Linked DNA regions of Rattus norvegicus. The protein of the gene in region 1 purifies or fractionates together with the protein of each later gene. This does not show direct contact. Links are inferred from orthologs where the notes say so. Each region holds a gene or a part of one and is shown on either strand. Other genes may lie near its edges.

Evidence for each region.
Region 2: the proteins of Rsu1 (region 1) and Ilk purify together in Homo sapiens (affinity purification with mass spectrometry; 9 studies listed by BioGRID and IntAct, counting the BioPlex papers as one, with this or other methods). This does not show direct contact. The link is inferred for Rattus norvegicus from reciprocal best matches to the Homo sapiens genes RSU1 and ILK.

What each region holds. Positions count from the first base shown.
Region 1 is NC_086035.1:81,097,143-81,101,117, forward strand, and holds the end of Rsu1 (ras suppressor protein 1), read right to left. Parts: exon of another isoform or gene 1,435-3,975; coding exon 1,332-1,434; 3' UTR 725-1,331; downstream 1-724. UniProt on the Homo sapiens protein: Potentially plays a role in the Ras signal transduction pathway. Capable of suppressing v-Ras transformation in vitro.
Region 2 is NC_086019.1:169,499,298-169,503,646, reverse strand, and holds the start of Ilk (integrin-linked protein kinase), read right to left. Parts: upstream 2,927-4,349; 5' UTR 2,912-2,926; exon of another isoform or gene 2,821-2,911; intron 2,529-2,820; 5' UTR 2,481-2,528; coding exon 2,392-2,480; intron 1-2,391. Other genes in the region: Rrp8 (ribosomal RNA-processing protein 8), read left to right, coding at 3,233-3,331. UniProt on the Homo sapiens protein: Scaffold protein which mediates protein-protein interactions during a range of cellular events including focal adhesion assembly, cell adhesion and cell migration.

The DNA.
Region 1 (3,975 bases):
ATGAGTTCAAGGCTTTCCCCCCTGACGCCGGTTCACTTAGAGCGCAGCTTAGGCACAGCAATGGGCAGTAAAGACAGCACAGGAGAGAAACATGTCCTTGTCTCACAGACCACTGAGAGTGTATTTCGCCTTACCTGTTTTTGTTGATTGGTCTCAAAGTACCCCCACAAGACTTGTGCTTGGGTTTATGTTCATCTCCACACACCGCTGCTGGTGAGGGGAGGAGCTGCTCACTGCGGATGCTTAGTGACTGGTGGTTGACTGGCTCTGCCAGGGTAGTCTCCATCTCGGGTGTGGTATAGATTGTGTGCGTTTGTACAAGTTCCTTGGCATTGGCCTCTTAGGAGAATGCTTTGCTGTGAACAGAGTTCTCTCTCGACACACTGGGGCTTTTCTCCCTCTTCTCTCTCAGCCCTTGTCTAGCAGACGCTGGCACGAGTCACAGTTTTGTTTAGTGCAAGGATGCTGCTTTCCAAAATCCTCTGGCAGGATCTCCTAGAGATTTGTTTTTCTCTTCCTTCCTAATTTAGAAACAGTCTTCAAAGGAAAAGAAGAAGGAAAAAAAAACCTGACAAATTGATGTGAGAGGAAACGAACTCTGATTTAATTTTGTATTTGTTTCACGGTAAGGTCCACAGATTGTCATCTACAATCAATAACATTAGAGGAGGTAAAAAAAAAATTAGGGGGGAGAGAAATAATAAAACACATGGCACACCCCAAGACTAGGTTATTTTTTTTTTATTTTAGTCAAGAAGAGAAGTGTGACATAAATTCAAGATTTTATTGAAATCATTTGGATGTTAAATGAACATAATAGCTTGGCGGTGAGGGAAGATTTTTAATAAGGCACAATAATGAGTTATACGAATAAACAGAAAGAATGAAAAGTGTTAACTGTGACATTTAAGTGGTTACATGATTTTAATTATTCTTTTGATAATAAGCAGTCTTGTGACGTTTATTCAAGGAACTGAAACCAGTGCCTCCCATGGAATTTGCAGGAGAATGAGAGCTTTGTTTTCTGCCTTCGGTAATTTAAAAAAAAAAAAAGAAGAAACAAATGAGCAGGAATGTAAGACTTTATAAAAAGTGCACCCCTCCACAAGAAAGGTGCAAAAGGGAGGCTGCGTTCAAGCACCAGGAGGAGAAAGGGAAAAGAATTTTCTTTCAAAAAAAAAAAAAAGAAAGAAAGAAAGAAAAAGAAAAAGAAGAGAAAAGTAGGCACCAGCACGCTGTTGTTTGTTTGTGGGACAGAGCAAGGATGGCCAGAAGAGCTAAAGCTTCAAGGAGGCCAGAAACCAGTGTGTGTGTGTGTGTGTGTGTGCTCCTCATTTGTTCTTGGCTGCAAGGGGTTTCCGGCTGATCTTTTTGGATTTGTCGTTATTCTTCTTTGGGGGTTCTGGGTTGGCTTGCATGTGTCTGCCGTAGAGGCTAAAAAGAGAGAGAGAGAGAGAGAGAGAGATGGGGGATAGTCATGAGCTCTGTTTACTAGTCTAAGTTTCCTAAGGACGAACTCTAAATATTCAGAAACGTTTGACAAGCCCAAAAGAGTTCTATTGATTCTGCCCCATCCACTCCAAGACTTGACAGTTTTACACATGCAAGCACAGACGTGTACTTATGTGTATACAGCCTGTATGGCAGTGTTCTATTGTGGACAAGGGTCTTGGTATTTTACCCTTCCTGGGCAGGGTGAGGGAAGACAGGATCTTCGGGACTGCTGAGAACAGGTTATGTACACCAAGCCCTTTCGGAGTTGCATTCTAAAAACCGTAGTGTTTTAAGTCTACAAGGACAAAAGATCCCCGGACGGAGAGACACTATCCATTTCATTAGAAGTGAGCGCCAATGCTCAGCCCGAGAGCCCAGGGGCTAGTTAATGTGACACAGAGCGGTGGTGTTGGAGATCGTGCTGGCTGCTCATGTGTGATTGATGGTGCAGGGATGGCCACCACACATCAATGCCACATTAATAAGTACCACTGATTAAATGTTGACAAAGTGCCCCACAATTACAGTGGATGGTATCCATCGTGCAAAGGATTTAACTGAGCGGTGGATAGTAATTAATCCATAATTTATGAGTGATTCTGATTAAACAGAATTAAAGCCACCCTAAAATAAATAGAGCTCAGCCTTAACTCCCTTTATTGACACAACTGTGTTTTCCAGAGTCCCATGCACATCTCAGCCCTCAGTATCTTTGGAGGAAAGGACTGGCCTCATTCCAGTCATTGCTTCTGCTATTGACTAATGGAACCAAGAGTCAGCCAAGAGACCTGCTTCTCTGTGTAAGGAGCCACTGGTTCTAATACCCACTCAAGGAGTCATCCATTCATTTACAGTTTGTCTCTGTGTATATTTACGAACTATTTTATGTACTGTATGCTGCTAAGGAAGGAGTCAAGGGCCACCAGACTCGAGGCAAGTGCCATACCTCGGAACGACACCCATTCCTCCTGGTTTTTAATGCTAACACTGTATGTCTATGCACTATGTGTAGAGCACAAGGATGCGCTTGATTGGCATCAAGACTATGGCTGACGGGCTGAGGGGAGGGCCTGGCAAACGGAGCTGTCCTCTGGGTAGGCAGCAAGCCAGGCACGAGTGTTTCAGTAGGTAACATGATGCTCTCTCTTTTGTTGCCTCCCAAGTGTCAGTTTAGAAACTGGTTGTTCCAACAGTGGCGAGGGAGAGGTCTGCCCTTACAGAACAGAGAATTCATAGGCGCTCATAGGAGATAGGAGATGGCGCCCAGAGCCAGGTGCAGGGACGAATCTCCAGGTAAAATGGAGTCATTTGCTTGTGTACAGGTTACAAGGGAACTTACAGAGGGATAGGCTTGGGCTCTTACAATTAGAAGCTCCAGAAGTTTGTGCTGACATAATGGTTAGGCTAGCCTGGACACCTGGGGTCCTGTAACCCAGTAGGAACTAATGATTTCATGGAGCACGAAACACATCCAATCTTAGTTCTGTCACCCAATTCCCATGTTGTCAATATCGCTGCCTATGTATTGCCTTGCCAGCATCTCTCCCAGAGACAAACATGAAGGACCTTGAACCAAAGCAGAGCTGTCTACCCTTCTCCTCACTTTAATCTGCACATTCGGAAACACGCTGTTCTACCAAATGGCCTTTGAAATCTCTTCTCCAGTGGCTGTTTTACCGGAGGCCACACATTTCATGCTCAGGGGCTCCAGGCTTCCCCAGAGGCCCCTTTTCTCTGAGGTCCTCTCATCTGGCACACAGCCAACATCTGACTTTGTTCTGCGTGTTCACAGGGCACCCCTGATCTCAGGATGGGTGGGTACACAGCTTTCTTATGCTTTTCCTTTGTCTTACAACCTCTTATCCCCACACAGGAAAAAGGAATATACTCGCTTGAATGCAAGACAACACCAGATTCGACTGATTATCCAAACCAGCGGAAACAAGACAGTTCATTCATAAGTGTTCTGGTTTTAAATGCAAAATTTCCTCAAAGGCTGTGTTTGAACACTTGATCTTTAGACAGTGGCACTGGGTTTTGGGGGGTGGGGAGGAGGGATGTCTACGGAACCATTGAGGCATGGGGCCCAGCTGGAAGACGTAAGCCATTGAGAGGAGATCTTTAGAATTATGGCCTGGGTTAGCATCTGGTCCCACTCTGCTTCCTTATCATCAAAATGTGAGCCAACCATGGCACAAGCTTTCGACGCTATGCCTTTCGCATCACGATGGACTGACATTTCCTGAAATCAAGAGACATAATGAATCCTTCCTTCTTTAAATTGTGTCTGTCAGGTATTCTGTCATAGCAATGAGAGAGGCTAACTAATATATATCACATGGAATTGCAGAACTAGTACAGTATCAGGAAAGGCGTGTCAACAACGAGAGGCCATGGAGGGTTAAAGAGAGCTCAAGTCGAGCCAGGACTTGACTGGCGTGGCCTGAATGAGGTGAGCCACATGGGCAAGCAGGACGTTCC
Region 2 (4,349 bases), on another chromosome or scaffold:
CTGAAGAGGCAGATAACCACACAAACCCGGATGTTCCTACTTACCAACCAAAATTCACAGAGGAAAATATAAATTGAAGCTTTTGAATAAAAAATATATCTGAGTTTTATTTTCATCCCCTAAGGACATATATTTTATAAAGAGAAGTGTACAAACAAAACAACTGTATGGGCTGGGTCAAACTGACAGCCTGGAGCCATAAAAGGAAATTCCCTCCAGCCCTGGGATGCAGATCTGAGGGGCGGAACAGGGGGCGGTCTGTGGTCTAGGCCTGCAGCCTCCAGATGCTTTAGTGCTGTGGTCACTTCCTGTGAGGGGGCTGGAGGAGGGGCCTTGAGTTGATCCTGGCTTGGTCACCCAGAATCCCCCAACAGTTGAAGGAGATATGTAGCTTTAAATAATTGCCCAGCTCCGAAAAAAAGATCCAAAAAAAAAAAAAAAAAATTGTCCCTCTAGTCTGCCCTCATCAGTTAATACAAACTCGGCAAAAGCTTTCTGAGGATGTGAGTATATCCATTGCTATCCTATCAGTCTTCTCTCCCAGACTTCATGTATTCTGACCAAACAACTTCCAGAAGTCTGTGGCCTCAGAGGAAGCTTAAGCTTGAGAACAAATGCAAATGTTTTGCCCACTGTCACCTGAGGGCCTGGATTTCTATCTGAAGAATGCCTGCAGGGAGTTAACCACCTCCAGCACTGCCCTTTCCCTTCAAGCCACCAAAGCTTTCTGGTTTCCCTAATGATACCCTTCACCTTTTGACAACAAGGATTCTTCCAGATGCCACTCCCACTGGACAACAGCCTAAACTTCTATTTTCTTACCAACAAAATAGGACAGACAGCTTAGTGTTTACAGAGCGCACAAGTTAATGTAAAAAAAAATGAAACAAGTAACTTTGAATATAACAGAGAAACAGTATTCACCCTAATGGAAGCTGGTGAAACCTGGCCTAGGATGACAGATGATCCTTTCCAACCTAAAACAATCCTCTTATAGTCAAATACAGTTGCAACAAATGGAAATCCCAGCACTCAGAAGGCTGACTGACGCAGGAGGAAGGAGAGCTGGAGGCCATTCTGAACTACATGACAGGCTGTCTCCAAAAGCAAACCAAAACTACCTACTAAACTCTTCCAACACTGCATTTCTTGCTTTCTTATATCAGCCAGCATTGTAGAAAGTGTTCACATTATCTGTTTCCTCACTTTCCATTCACTTTTTTCCCTGACAGAAGCCTGCCATCTATAGGGAATAGATGAGGTCTTATGCAAGGATTCCCCCCCCCCCCCCCGCCCCCGGAGCTGAGGACCAAACCCAAGGCCTTGCACTTGCTATGTAAATGCTCTACCACTGAGCTACATTCCCAATCCCTCAAGGAGTTCTTATTTGAAGGAACCCAGTGTAATGCAGTTTCCTGTTACTTTCTGCAATACCATTCAAAGACCAAATACATCCTAAATGGAAACTAAATGAAGACTTAAAATGCTCACTTATGTTCTTTAACTTCTCAGTGGCCTATAATTAACCACTCTTCTTCCATTAAAACATCCATTCTCTAATCTTAGTCCATTTCTTATTTCTCCTTCAGATGGTTGTTCCCTGTCAGTCAGCCAGCCTTCTCGACCTCTGCCTTTATTTTACTCCTCTTCTGAGGTACTATTTTTCACCTTATAGAATCTTCAGGTATCATTTAAACGCTAATTTATGGTATCTTGGTATCCCAATCAGACCTCTCTCGAACTTAAAATCTGCACGAACAACAACCTGTCAAGCATTTCCAAGTTATTGTAGTGTCACCAAACTGTAGTCAGTCCAAAATGGAGCATCGGCAACTGCCAAGTGTCCAAGTTCCCAAACCTAAACCCCAGGTCATCTTTGACTTCCTCCTTCACTTCCCATACCAACTCAACTACTTCATTCTTATGACTTTAGGGCTCTCACCACTAACCCTGTCTCAATTCTTGTATCCAAAACATCACTTTAAGGCAATTGCATCCACGGTGACACCTGACAAATGGGTAGTCTCATCACTACACAGCTTCAGAACTTTAGATCTCTAATGTCCTTTTCCACTTCTATCCAATGCTCTAGGGCGCAGAAACTCATCCTCCAACCACATGTAATTCCAATTTTCTGGCACTCTGGTCTGCCTTTGACATGAGTTCACAGAGGCTGCAAAGTCCTCGGGAACCGATTGTGAAACTTAGTAAAAACAAAAAACCCAGACACAGCTTCCTCTCTGTAAACCCTCCTCCATCAACAGACTTTGCTTTCTAATACTCCTCATCACACTGGATAACAAAGTTAGCTGTCTCCGCCCGACATGAGCACCCCAAGTAGCGGAGAGCGGACTTCTAGCAGTCCTCTCACTCGCCAATGCTTCAGCTCACCCCTGATTTAGGTCGTTCTCTGTGTTGTCCAGCCACAAGCGCACCGCCACCGCGTTGCCCTCCCGGCACTGAGTGAAAATGTCGTCCATAGCAGCGTCCCGGCACAGAGACCCCGGGACTGGGGAAGTCTCGGGGAACTGCGGGAGAACAGAGACAAGAGAATGACTCTATCTCTGTTCCCTCAGGACAGAGGTGTCAGTGCTGGGATGGGGAGCGTCGCGAAAGGGACAGTGGTTGTCTGTGAAGGGCTTCGGGCAGCGGACGACCCCTGGGCTCGAGGAGCAGGGGGATCTGGAGGTATAGGGTAGACTTTGCTAGTTTCCTGAGTTGGCGTCAGCGGGCTCCGAGTCACGGCCCTAGAACACGGCTTGGGGGGAGGGGAGGGGCCCAAAGCTGCAAACACCCGGGGGAGGGGAAAGGGGTCCTTGCCCGGCGGCCCCGGCTCAGAGCTACTGTAGAGATCGCAGAGACAGGTTTGCAAGACCAGCATGGAACAGGGCGCGGAACTACCCGCACTCACCGGGACTCGGGTCGCAGGCGGCTTCTCCGGGGAACTCCCGTCCGGCCGCGCCCGCCGCCCGGCCCCGCCCCGGCCCGGCCCGGCCCGGCCCTCTCCAGCCAGCGCGGGCCGCGGTCCCTCCCTTCCGACCTCCTACTGCCTCTCTAGCTCAGGAGCGGTTACACTCGATGGTGCTCTGCTCCGCGCGGGCCGCTCTAGCCACCACAGAATTTCTCTCGGTGGCTTCCGGCCGAGTTTGGTCTGGCTCCAGTCCTAGGATTCTCGGACGCGCGCTACACGTGGGCCAGAGCGTAGACTCCTCCAACCCTGCCGGCCACCGGTATGTTTGAGGAGCCCGAATGGGTCGAGGCGGCCCCAGCCATCGTTGGCCTCCGGCCCGTGACAACACAGGTTCAGGCGGCGACTGCCCCGCCAGTCAAGGTGAGCGGCCCTGCACCGGGCTATTTGAAGAGTTTTAAGGAGGCAAAGTCGATCCTCCCGGGGTCGTGTTGGGTAGAGGGAGAGCCTGAAATGCTGTCGTTTATCAGGATGGTGAGAGAGTTAGTCATGATCTGAAGATCCGGAAACTCTCCAAAAAACTGACCTTAAAACATAATTGGTGAGAAGTTGGTGTGGAGAAGAGCGTACCTGAGATTTAGAAAAATGTTGAGAAGCTCCCGGGCAGTAACTCACCGTATCACAGTGTGTCCTAATAGGAATGCGGGATTAGGAGCTTGGAGCGCAGAGCTTGAAAAGTTAGTAAGTTTTCTGTACACTAAGGGTAGAAATCAGTGGAGTTTTAGCAGTGGAGTGGTTTCTCCAAGTTTTCTCTCACCTGGCATTACTTTATATACTGAGGTTCGATTCCAGGGCTTCAGCATGGTAGACAAGCATTTACTACATAGCTGAATCCGAAACCTTGAAAGGGTTTTTAGTTGCAGTGTATATTAGACAGAATCAAGGCAGGTGACAGGGAAAGTATCAGAATCACTATTCAAAGGAGGCTCAGGGAATCTAGAACCTCCAAGGTAAGGGTCTGGCTGAGGACCAGCAGTAGGACTTGAACCCCAAATCAACTTCACGGAAAACAGGCCTTTTCCTTTGAGTCTCATCAGATGTGAGGAATTCTATATCCCCTTAAGCTGTTCCTGACCTTCAGTCAGCCTAGGATGTACTATTCATTTCTGTGGTCCATTTCTGCTTGTCTGTGTGCAGCTTCTTCCTAACAGGCTGTTCCTTCTACTGCAGTTAGGAATATCTTTAATAGACAGACATGTGTGACACTGTCCGTCCTGTTTCAAAACAAACAAACAAACAAAAAAAAAAAAAAAAAAAAAAACCTCTGCTGCCCCTAGAATGCTGTCAGTGAGAGGCAAAGATAGCCACAGTCTTACCTTGGTCCCGTTGCTTGGGTGCTTAGCACATTCCTCTAAGGAAATCAACTGGCAATCCTTTACCC